Linked DNA regions of Bombyx mori. The protein of the gene in region 2 binds, or shares a complex with, the protein of the main gene of each other region. Links are inferred from orthologs where the notes say so. Each region holds a gene or a part of one and is shown on either strand. Other genes may lie near its edges.

Region 1 (4,181 bases), on a different chromosome or scaffold from region 2:
AGTCGGAGTTCCCACCTGACTGCACACTGTGCAAAGTAGATCTCCGGCAGGGAACTATCACACCGGGGGATGTTCGGTGGTGTGGCACCCCCGTCGTTCAGTCGAGTTCGAGGCGAAGAGTCCCCTATAACCTCCATATACGCAAATTACCCTTCCCTATTCACGGTTACTGTATTCGCGGCATATTTTTATTATGCTTCAACCCCGCGAATAATAAACTTTTACTGTATAGAGACTAGTAAACGTGATCTTTGACTATTGCAAAACAGCCTTTAAGAACAAGGTTAGACAGTGGTGACAATAATTACAGACTCAACAGGAAAATCTCCACTGCGAAATCGGAATCGTAAGACACCTGATGAATTTATATCAAGTGATGTGGCTATGACAAGGTTCAAAACCTCCATTAATCATTTGGATCTTATTGTGTCTTAAGACATTGTGTAATATCTGTTAGTGGGAAGTATCTTAAGACCACTTGAGTAAATAGATATCACTATTTTGGCTATTTCTGCCACAAAGCAGTCGAGAGTTCTGGTTTGATGGGCCGGACAGCCCTTATATAAAACAATTGATATTACAACTTCAGATCTCTAAGAGGGGTGATACTTATTGATTTATATGTATGTTTATATTGTAGGCATAATTTCTCACCATAATTTTGAAATGTATAATGAAGTGAATTGATGGACTAATTCAAATTATATAAGTTTGTTCATAAATCAGCTTATCTAACATTAATTACCACCATCATGTGGATTATTTTAATATTGGATAGTCAATCAAGATGTTCTTTTTATAGTGTATGTATGTATTAAAAATTAGATTATGTTCCATAGCAGAAGTATTGATACTTGTAAACAGTGATACTAAAACACCCAGAACTAAGATTAATATAGTGTGCAAAATTTTAGTAACAAAATACTTCCTAAATTTGTATATATTTGACATTCATTACTACTTGCTCACTTTATTTTTATTAAATTTTTTTGGATGTAGATGTACCTAACAATTCGCAAAGCACTAAATTACATGTATGATTACATTGAGAAATGAGGTTGAAGTCTCAAATGTATGCAAGAAGCTAAATTATTTGCTATTACACCATGCCTATTTCTGCTGTGAAGCAGATGCATTTCACTTTGAAGGGTGGAGTATATGTTATTATACTGTAAAAACTGACATTTTAGAACTTGTGTCTCAAGGTTGACGGCGGCATTGACTGTTGATGTCTCCGGTAACCACTTAACACCGGGTGAGCCATGAGCTCATCCAGCCATCTAAGCAATAAAATATACAGTTATATATTAAATAGGATTCTTGGTTACTTTCTACTTTCTGTCAACAAACCCTGTCATGCTGAAAACTTACTTTGTTTGTATTGAACAATTCCAAATCTTGCAAAACTGGCTGGAACAGGTATCTGTTAAAGAGTATACTCATATAAAACTGAATGGTAAATGATAATCAAATTGCTAATTCTGGTTTGGTACCTATTGACCTATGTAAGATGTAAGTACTGAGACTTTAGAACTAGTCTCGTGGTGGATGGAGGCAATTACATTGTAGATGTCCATAAGCTCCAGTAACCATTTTAGACCAGGTGGATCATGAGCTCATCCACCTATCTAGTAATAAAAAAATACAAGAACTAGGGAGTCCTCATTAGTTGTAGAATATTTTTCAAATTCAAATCAAATTACAGTAGGGCATAAGGGCATAGGTAGGCTCAGTTCACCCAACTAAATCTAAATTATATTAGAACCCCAAAAGCTTAGGTTAACCACAGTGACAAAGGAAAGTAATTATTATTATATTTCATGTCATTTCGTTCGTTCTGTTTATTAAAAGTTTATTCAACATATACATTACTACTCTAACTAAAAGTTTAGTCTAATGAAGCGTAAATAAATAATGTTTATAATAATATATGTAAAACATATAGTGGTTTCATATATAAAAAAATTGCGAATAATCATACCTTTGCACATTTGACCGGAACAGGTGATACAGTAACAATTTTAACTGGACTCTCTTTCGGTTCTGCTTCGATTTGAGCAATCAGTGGTTTACTTGTAGTTTCCAGCACTTTCACCACTTGAGGAAGTCCTGCAGGACATATCATCGAGTCTTTATGTATTTATAATCTAAATTAAAGACTTACTGAAGCGTCGGTGCCATCAGCTGATTGAAACAAAAAATATCTCCGTAATAAACAAACGCTGTGATGATGTTTATTTCGGCAGAATAAAAGGCGTCGAAGATAATAACTAAAGCTAAGCTACTAGTCTTGAGTTTGGTCCAATTGATCTAGGCTTTGTTTGCAATACAAAGTCTTAAATCCGATAGGAAAAACAAGTGTCACGTAAACTAAAGTAGCACCTCTACTAACCGTTAGCATCATGGATAAGGTAATTTATTGTACTATTAGTTTGGGACATTTTCTCCACACTCCTTGAATTTGGACGTCCATTTATGTTTCATAAGAACAACGTAGGACAATTGTTGATGACGAAACAAATTAAATAATACCTACTCAATTCGTATGACCAAAATCACAGGTCAAAATGGCGACAAAAATATGGGTTAGAACCAAAACTATAGCCAATTTTTGAACCGATAAATGAACCTTTTACAGTTTAAAGTTTCTATTAATATATGTAACATTGATAAACTTTTAACATTTAATTAAAGTATATTAAATGCGCGAATCCAAGCACCATCACCAACGCAGCGCGGGACGAGAAGGAAACGATGCAAGAGGCGGGATTTTTGGATTTACCAGCTGATTGGATGAGGTAGTTCACGTGGTACTATTCAATAGTTGCTAGATGTGAAAAAAAAACAAAAAGGCGCCAATTCTCAATCGCCATTTTGTTTTTAGGTGTAGATGTACGCATTTAATGTCCTTGCCATCGCAAGAATTTAAAAATGTTTTCCGAAGTGCGCCATGCATGAGGTTAATTTAATTATTAAACTTCATGCATGGCCCCATGTCTTTCTTGTTCATAATAGTCTGTTCGGATTCAGTTTCTTCACGTTGTTACGTTATTTTTCTACAATGTTATGGTCACTTACTTTTTTTTTAGTGGTATAGTATCATTTCTGATATTTTTACGATTATGAAACAATATCACTACTCGTTCTTCCAGTATTTATTGTAGAACCTTGTGTATATATAAAAACTAAGCTACCATAAAAAAGCATTTATGAGATTACAATAATTTTTTTCCGGCCCTTGTTGGCAGACGAGCATACGGCCCACCTGATGGTGAGTGGATGGACTTCAGCAATGCCAGGGGCAGAGCCAAGCCGCTGCCTACCGCTTAATACTCTCCACAAGCCTCGTTTGAAGACGTACATGTCATAGCGCACGGGGAAACATCGTGGAGGGAAGCTCATTCCATAGCCGGATAGTGCGTAGCAAAAAAGACCTCTGGAAACGCACTGTGGATGACCGCAGTGGCTCCAGATAGTATCATCTCGAACAATTCCTCAGAGCACTCCTCATGGAATATACGGTACAAAATACAGAGGGAACCGAAGTCCCTCCGTAGACCCAGAGGTTCCAAACGATCCGTGAGAATGGGATTATCGACAATCCGAACGGCCATCCTCTGTATGGAGTCAAATGGCAGAAGCTGGTATTTTGGAGCCCCGGCCCAGAGATGGGAGCAGTACTTCACGCGAGGCCGGACTTGTGCTTTATAAAGCAAAAGCCTTTGTTCAGGCATGAAGTACCGCTTCGCTCTATTGAAGACTCCCAGCATTTTGGACGCCAACTTGGCTTTGCCTTCCAAATGACTCCGAAACTGGACATCGCTCGAAATGTTGACCCCAAGTATCCCGATACTCTCGGAAGATTGCAGGGATACTCCTTGGAATTGCGGCGCCATGACTATTTAATGTCTACAAATATGATTATAGGTTGAATCTCAATAGTCTGCGGGGATGTATTATTAAATAAACATCATCAACTCGATACTTCTTAAAAAACACTATCTCAAACTCACATACTCGTTTTTCCTAAAACCAACAGCTATCGAACCATAGCTCAAACTGTTATTGTAATAGATTGAGATACCGTTAGCCCCTTAGGTTGAATGCCCAATGCAGGTAATAAATATGAGACTATAAGAACTTTAGAGGTTGAGAAACATTAGTACATGTCGATTTGATCA
Region 2 (3,753 bases):
GACACCAATTGCCCAAAATATTAGAACAATTGCTAATGTTAAAGTTATATTTAGCCTATGTACCTATTTGTATGCTATGTAACGATTCACTTTATAGATATAATGAGAAAAGATTTTACTTCGTAATTTTTCGGAAAAGTTTTATTTAAGTTTTACCTGTACTTCATATCGGAAAATAGCAAATTCAAAAACAGCAACAACTCAAGAGTATTTTGACAAAGTTCAACAGCGAATTTCAAACGCAACTAGACCAACAATAAGAATATTTTGAACCAGGAGGAAGAATACAGAAATAATAAAAATACCAACACAAACAAAATTAAGATGGGTAGACCATGCATGAAAATCTATCTAGATCTTGATGATTTTGATTATGCAGTGATACGACGAATGGTTTATAGCTTTCATCTCATTTATAAACAAGTCCCTACAATAAAAGCACTAAAGCCCAAATAAATAGAAACGATGAATTTCAAAGAATGTGATTTTACACTACTGGGTTTTTTATTGAAGAAAATTGCTAATAATAGGAAAATGCTGATGGAAAAGATGACGTTAGACTTAAAAGAGTAAAGTACGTAGACTTAATAAGGAAGTATAGATCTGAAGGCAGATATTGTGTATAATACTGACGAAACTTATGTCCACACATCCCGAACATAACAATTATTACTTAAAAATATCGGGAATTCATTTCGTATAATACCCTAGTAAATATCCTGTTTTAAGTAATAATTGTTATGGTTGCAGCATCTCTATATTATACAATGTCATTTTGACATTTGAGACTAAACAATAAAGTTCCTTATTAATGGATATGAAAATGTCACTCATTTAATACGATCATTCATTGACAGTTCGGGTGTCATCGTATTCCGATAAAGATCAAGAGTTTTCCCGAAGGAAAATAGTTTCTCACTACATCTATACTTGTATGTTTAATATACTGTTTACTGTCAAATAGTTTGAAAAGTATGAAAAACGGGACAACTTTTTGCATTTAAATATTGAAAATATAAAATTTTGTGGTAATTTCAATTAGAAGTAAAAAATGCTGTTTGTAATATTTCGAAAAAACTCAGATAATTAGCTAGAATAGCAGATCATTAGTTAGTTAAATTTCATAATGATATTTACAAAGCATTTTAATAAATGTCATTTTTTCCAACAAGATTTTAGTGTTTTGTATAACGTTTACATGATAAAAATTCTATAGAACTAAGAACAGTTCCGAAAACTTGTACCCCATTATTGTTCGGTTGTAGCAGAGTTATCTCACAGATTAACGATTAAAAAGTGAATGTTAAACAATGTTGTTATTTCACACTCTCCACAGAGCACATGAGTCGTACAGACAGGACGACTAGCCGTGGTTGACGTTGACGGCCGACTCTAACTCCGACGCCGGCGTCTCCGGCTCCTCGTCGTTGTAGATGTTCTCAGCCATCTGCCACACCTGTACAGATACCGCACCGAATCAATGTACAACAAATACCAAATATATATTTTTTTTCTACCTATTCTAAGAAGCTACCACCAAGTCTGAACCGCGACTGAAAAGATCCGGCGAGAAACTCAGTGAGTCGCAAGCGACGGGTTCGACAAGAACGATGACCGGTGCTTGGGGTACCTAAAAGCACTGTTAGAAGGATCCGAGATGATGTGCCGAAATATTTATCAAATAGCCTAGATTTGTAGTTTTTTTTTTTTTTTTTATGGCATATATATGTGGACGAGCTCTACAAAGTAAATGCGTCACCCACTTTAAGATACAAGTTCTAAGGTCTCAGTATAGTTACAACGGCTGTCCCACCCTTCAAACCGAAACGCATTACTGCTTCACGGCAGAAATAGGCAGGGTGGTGGTGCCTACCCACGTGTACTCACAAGAAGTTCTAACACCAATAAATAATTATGTGCTAGGGAGAAATTATATTTTAGCAAAGCAATTATATTTTATGCATTAAGATCAACTATAATATTAATGTTTTCTGACAGCTTTCTCCCAAAAGGTGCCTATCTAAGCTAAAAACATTCAACCTATAATTTTAGCATACCTGCATAATGTTATCCTCAGAGACGGAACAGATGACCCATGGTTCATTAGGGTTCCATGAGAAGTCAGATATCTTAGCGGTGTGTCCTCCATGTATGAACAATAATTCTGGGGGTCCATCTTCTGCATCTTCAGCTGTCTGTTCCTCGCCAATCTTTGACAAGTCCCATACATGGAGTCTAAAAAAACAAGTAATGAAGTAACTTTCATAATAATTATTGTCTCGTACAGCAATCAGCAAACCCAGTTCTTGAGTATTGTGCATTTTCCCAAATTTAAAGCGTAAAAATTAGATGTACATGTTTACGATTTTTAAAATCAGCCCAAAAAGTGGCTGTAAGCCCACAAGAAGTCTGAGCTTTTATATTTACTTTGCAACTTCAATTCCATATCTGTTTTTTTTATGGGTGTTGATTTTATTTTACCTACCGTTTAATACTATTATTTTGAGAGTTCTTGTCTGTACACAAGATGTAACAAAAAGTTTGAAAATTCAATTATCTGTAATTTTACCTTCGGTCGGTACCACTGCTCGCGAGAATAGTTTCGTTGTGTGGCGACCATTGTACTTGGAATATTTCGTCTTTGTGCGACTCGAACGAGTGTAGCTTTAATTTCAAATTGCGTAGATCCCAAAGCGCAACCTAGACGGAAATTATATTTATAGTTATAGTAGTTAACCTATTATTAAGGATAGGCTATTTATTATTTAGTTTATTATGATATTAAAACTGTAGTTTCATTTTTCAGTGTATCATGAGCTGATTGAATTCAAAGCTTGTGAACACAAGTTTCGTTAAATTACAAAAAATTGATATATAAATATTACAATTAAATAATAAGCAAAACGCTATGGAAGTTTTGACTTGTTAGATGTGTATATTTGAATTAAAATTAGTAACATTACCGTTTTATCCGCACTGCCAGTAGCAAGAATGAACTCTGAATAGGGATTGAAACTGAGGCAGTTAACTTCAGCGGTGTGTGCGTCCACTGTGTGAGATGGTTTCGATGTATTATTACATCTGTAATTACAACATAATTGTGCTCTATTTTACTAATTATTACTACCATATATGCATACCTCATTATTACACTTAAACGAAATGTGTCATTATATCATAAAAAAATAATTAAAGGTAATTATTAACAAGTAATGAAGGTCAATACCAAATACAAGTTATCTGCAGAAATATGTGAAAACAACCTCCTGTTTGTGTTATCATGCCATGATAGGAAAAGCACTTTCATATTCAAACTAATGATTTTATTATCATGATTGTCTTAAATAGGTCTCTTAGTTAATAAGTATTGTACAATTCACAATTACATAATCAGTATGTCTTGATCTTGTCTCATTTATAATGTTTTATATTTACAATTGTAACTTTTCAAATGGTAGGCTGTGGCTGGGCTCTGCCCCACGCGTTGCCGACGTTCGTGAGCGACAGTAACCACTCACCATCAGGTGGGCCGTATGCTCGTCTGCCTACAAGGGGCAATAAAAAAGAACCTCAAAAAGTTAGTTGTTGGTGTTACCTGGTGTCCCATATCATCAGTTTCTGGTCGTCAGCCACGGATCCGAAGAGCGACTCGTGTAGCAAGTGCCACGCGACGTCCTCGACGACGGCCGTGTGGCCGGTGAACACGGACTTCGCTTCGATGACCCGCCCCTCCTTTGGCGTCGCGTTGATGTC
Region 3 (4,150 bases), on a different chromosome or scaffold from region 2:
CTAAAGAGAATATTATTAAGGTTTGTTTTTCAAGGAAGACATCTTTTTCACTATTTGTAAGAAACAAAGATCATTTTTCAACAAAACTGGCCCAGTCCACATTTATAGTAATGACATGAAAGCCGATGTACCATGCACTTTCCCGTCGTAGTTCTTTATTAGCTCCTCGATGAATGTACCATCCTGATCCAGGACCTCGTCTCCCATGTATGGAATGTTGTGCAGAACAGTCTCATCTTCTACCATAAAATTTTTCTGTGTTGGAGCCCATGTATACATCGTCGGAATTGGATTCACAGAGTTGATTATTCTTATTGGTACCTGTTGGGTTGTCACTACACCTGAACCTGCAAAATATTTTAATTCAGTAAGTAGTAGGAAGTCCTCTAAACTGTTTTGCTCTCAATATGAAAAACTAAGTCTATGTCTTTCATGAAAAAAAAACCGAAAAGGAACACCATATGGAATCAGCAGTTCAGAAGGGTTGAGTATTTTGGGTTGTACGTCAAAGTAAATGGGAATTAGAAACTTTTTTGTTATTAAGTTTAGTTCATTAGAGAAAAATGTTTTGAGTGCATAGAATAGTTAATTTTGTTGCTGATAACACTGCAACAAAATTTTGCAATTCTTAAAAAACTACTTAGCAACTCTGGAACTTTTTTGTTTTTTATATGGTGTACATTACTGCGATAAGGCTAAAACATTATGTTTACAGTACAGGACAGTGGAACATATTTAGCAGTTCAACACTCTATTGGCCTGTTGTGGTTGAGCTTGCCACTAAATCAAGACAGGGCTAGTCACACACACATTTTATTGAAACTCAAAAATGCAAAGAGGTTAGGAGTTTAATTAATCCCAGTGACAGAAACTGTTAAAAGCTAATAGCCTCTAACCAATTTATGGGCTATTGGTTGATAAGTGCTGACAGAAAATGTGATTAATAAGACAGCAGTTGATAAGAATTGATAATAGAAAAGTCAATTAATAGGCTTGCAGTCGATATAGTCTATCTTAATTGATGTAGACAAGACTTGTAGGCAATGGCGGATCCAGAGGGGGGGGGGGGTCATGGGGGTCATGACCACCCCATGAGCTGGTTCCAGGACTTAGGTGGACCACTAATTGAATATAATGATTTTTTTTATATATATTTTGTCACCATACAGATTTTATGTAACTACATACCTTCAATATTTAATTAATTTAATATAATATAATAACTTTGTATAATGGCAAACGTTTGGGAACGAACGCATCTAAATTTGACTATGTGACCCCCTCCTGGCGCCAAAGCTGTATCCGCCCTTGCTTGTAGGTAAGGTAAGATACAAATGATATTATTTTTTCAAATTATGGGTTGCAATTGCTTGTGGGACTTTTAAATTATTTTCCTTCTGAAATTGGATTACGGAGTTGTGGTGCCCACCCTAAAATTTCAGAAATGCAAAACAATTTTAACAGCTAAGAGGATCACTGTTTCTTTGGTGGCTACAGGAAACCACGACGCGATGAAGCTACCCACCATAAAACAAAATACAGCGAGGATCCAATCATTAAAACCGGAACACACGACTGCTTCGCATCATGAGGTAGCATGGTGGTACCCACTTGCGCGGATTTGCATTTAATGAACACTACATGGTTAAGTAAGGGCAAAGTTAAGATTTACCGTCTGTATAGGTAACTTCGGCCCTCTTCATAAGGCTCTCATGGCTCGATGTAGGCGCCGGCGGGGGCCAGAAGGGCCGTTTAGTACGATCCGTAGTTTCCGCCTCAGGCATCTCTATAGCTTCGGACATTATTTGCAAATTGCGCGCCCATGCTACTTTCACTTCATCAGCGCGTTTGAAACGCTAAAAAAATTTACATTACATTCATATCCAGATTCATATATCGTAAACTTCAATATTGTCATTCTGAGTTACCTTTACTTGTCGAAGCCGCATGTACTCTGACTTAACTCTCTTCTTCCATTCAGCTGATACTTTCGATTTACTCATTTTCAAAATATTTTAATTCGGCTATTCACATTTTACAAACTTACACCTTAGAGCTATACCCATCAGTGTTGCCGCTGGGCCAACATTGGGTTGCCGTACTGGAGAAAAAAATCTACCGTATTTAAACAAAAATTGCCGTACAAAGTAATTCAAAGTTTATTATTATTTATTTCTAGGATGAAATTAAAATAATACATATTTTTCACTCCTCTCTTCTCATCAAATCTGTATTATTGCCTAAAGTAAGTTCAGTTTCAATAATCTGATCTTTTCCGTAATTTGATGGGTTTTTTTTCATTTATTGATCATTTCGGGGGTTGGCTTAAAGCTCGTACAGTACTATTTGCTAATATTGTTCCATTTATGGTAGATGTTAAGAGGCGGTTTCTTTGTTTTGTTTTGATTAGATTTACTGCACTGAAGATTCTTTTTATACACATTTTATACATTAACTCATGTATCACTACACTGCACTTTTTCAAATGTCAAAATGAAGCTACACTTGCTAGTACAAACAATGACACAAGAGCGAGGCGGCGAGGCGACTTGAGGAGACGACTCGAAGAGCAGGCGTTGTAGGTTGTAGGGAATTCCCCGTACCAAACATAAAACATTGTCTATTACAAGAGTTGGATGCGCTTATGTTTACGCAAAAAGTATTCACGTTCTGTAATCACTTTAGATACATTAATTGTTTTTTTAGCTTTATGCTCTTGTTGCCGTATTTTAGAATACGGCAATGACCACTCTGCCGTATGCCGTACAATTTGTCTTTTAGAAGCATGATTGCCGTACGAAACGGCAATTGCCGTACATTTGGCAACGCTGATACCCATAGACATATTTATTTTTTTGCGATTTTATGACCTGGTATTTAAAACCTTTAGGTCAAACCCATTGGCCATAGATAACATAAATATACACTTGCTTAGGCTTCGATCAACACTATTTTTGATCGAAGTGTTTAGGTAATTCATTTATTTAGAATCTTTTGTAATGGCTTTTTTTAAGATACTATGGCCTGGTAACCGAGATCGTTAAGCGAATACTTATATTTTATTCATAGGTTAAAAAAATTTGCAACAACATGATTATTATGAGACTTTAATTAAATGGGATTGAATGAAATCCAACGAAATAAGATGTGATAAAATTCGTTCGCAATAAAATGGTAGTTATTTACTGTAACTTATTCAATAGGTTTTTCGGTAGGCAGCGGCTTGGCTCTGCCCCTGGCATTGCTGAAGTCCATGGGCGACGGTAACCACTCACCATCAGGTGGGCCGTATGCCCGACTGCCTACAAAGGCAATAAAAAAAAAAAATACTTTTTGGAAGAATCTGAGAAACTACGATCAGTGCCTTTGTTTAATTTTTGTATATTTTTGCACTTTTACAGATACTGAACAGTTTTAAGCGTGAAGATACACTAAGTTAACAAAATAAAGCAATTCACACCACTTCAATCCCCCCCTTTCCTACTAAAACCACAGACGAATTTTGATCGAAGATACGGTGAATGTCCCTGTATGAACCAATTCCGAGAAGTAGTTGGTGGGGACAAAGAGTTAACATGCTGTGCCGCTCCAATTTAGCTATCTTTCTTTTATTTTTATTTTTCGGATGCTTGTAGTTGTTGTTGTATCAAATTAGCATTACTATAATTACATCTTACACGTACGTCTTAATCAGTTGCGGACGTAAAGTGTTTTTTTTTTAAATAAATAAAAGCTAATAACACGTTTCTTTTAGCCAAATAAAATATTATTTTAGTAGAGGGGAAGAAGCCGATCGAAGAAGACATGGATGGAGTGTGTGAATGACAATACGAGAGTGAAAGGAGTAAGTGTTGAGCTGACGGCTGATAGAAGAGAATGGAAGAGAAAAATTAGCTGTGCCGACCCTACTTAGTGGGATAAGGTGAAGAAAAAGAAGAAGAAGAAGAAGAAATAAAATATTATTTTACTTTAGTCTTCATTTTACTTTCAAACATTATGTTTTGTTCTCGACAATAAGTACGTGTTATATATAATTCATACTTTAAATATCCCGTCATAATCTGTTATTGGATTTTCTTAATACCAGAAGGCCACTGAGTATCTCGCCACCGGTCTTTTTAGTGGTTTGCGAATTCGATCTGGTGGTAGA

Evidence for each region. Proteins that work in one complex are often made in the same cells at the same time.
Region 1: chromatin assembly factor 1 p55 subunit (region 2) and transcription factor Dp-1 share a complex: the UniProt entries of both Drosophila melanogaster proteins name them as parts of the DREAM complex. The link is inferred for Bombyx mori from reciprocal best matches to the Drosophila melanogaster genes Caf1-55 and Dp.
Region 3: chromatin assembly factor 1 p55 subunit (region 2) and histone-lysine N-methyltransferase E(z) share a complex: the UniProt entries of both Drosophila melanogaster proteins name them as parts of the polycomb repressive complex. The link is inferred for Bombyx mori from reciprocal best matches to the Drosophila melanogaster genes Caf1-55 and E(z).

The regions. Positions count from the first base shown.
Region 1 is NC_085110.1:8,925,391-8,929,571, reverse strand, and holds the start of transcription factor Dp-1, read right to left. Parts: upstream 2,801-4,181; 5' UTR 2,442-2,800; coding exon 2,393-2,441; intron 2,110-2,392; coding exon 1,982-2,109; intron 1,424-1,981; coding exon 1,372-1,423; intron 1-1,371. UniProt on the Drosophila melanogaster protein: Component of the DREAM complex, a multiprotein complex that can both act as a transcription activator or repressor depending on the context. In follicle cells, the complex plays a central role in the site-specific DNA replication at the chorion loci.
Region 2 is NC_085109.1:4,082,580-4,086,332, reverse strand, and holds part of chromatin assembly factor 1 p55 subunit, read right to left. Parts: coding exon 3,596-3,753; intron 3,082-3,595; coding exon 2,964-3,081; intron 2,701-2,963; coding exon 2,570-2,700; intron 2,236-2,569; coding exon 2,058-2,235; intron 1,457-2,057; coding exon 1,364-1,456; 3' UTR 1-1,363. UniProt on the Drosophila melanogaster protein: Core histone-binding subunit that may target chromatin assembly factors, chromatin remodeling factors and histone deacetylases to their histone substrates in a manner that is regulated by nucleosomal DNA.
Region 3 is NC_085117.1:20,094,587-20,098,736, forward strand, and holds the start of histone-lysine N-methyltransferase E(z), read right to left. Parts: upstream 2,801-4,150; 5' UTR 2,004-2,800; coding exon 1,929-2,003; intron 1,857-1,928; coding exon 1,673-1,856; intron 348-1,672; coding exon 132-347; intron 1-131. UniProt on the Drosophila melanogaster protein: Polycomb group (PcG) protein. Catalytic subunit of the Esc/E(z) complex, which methylates 'Lys-9' and 'Lys-27' of histone H3, leading to transcriptional repression of the affected target gene.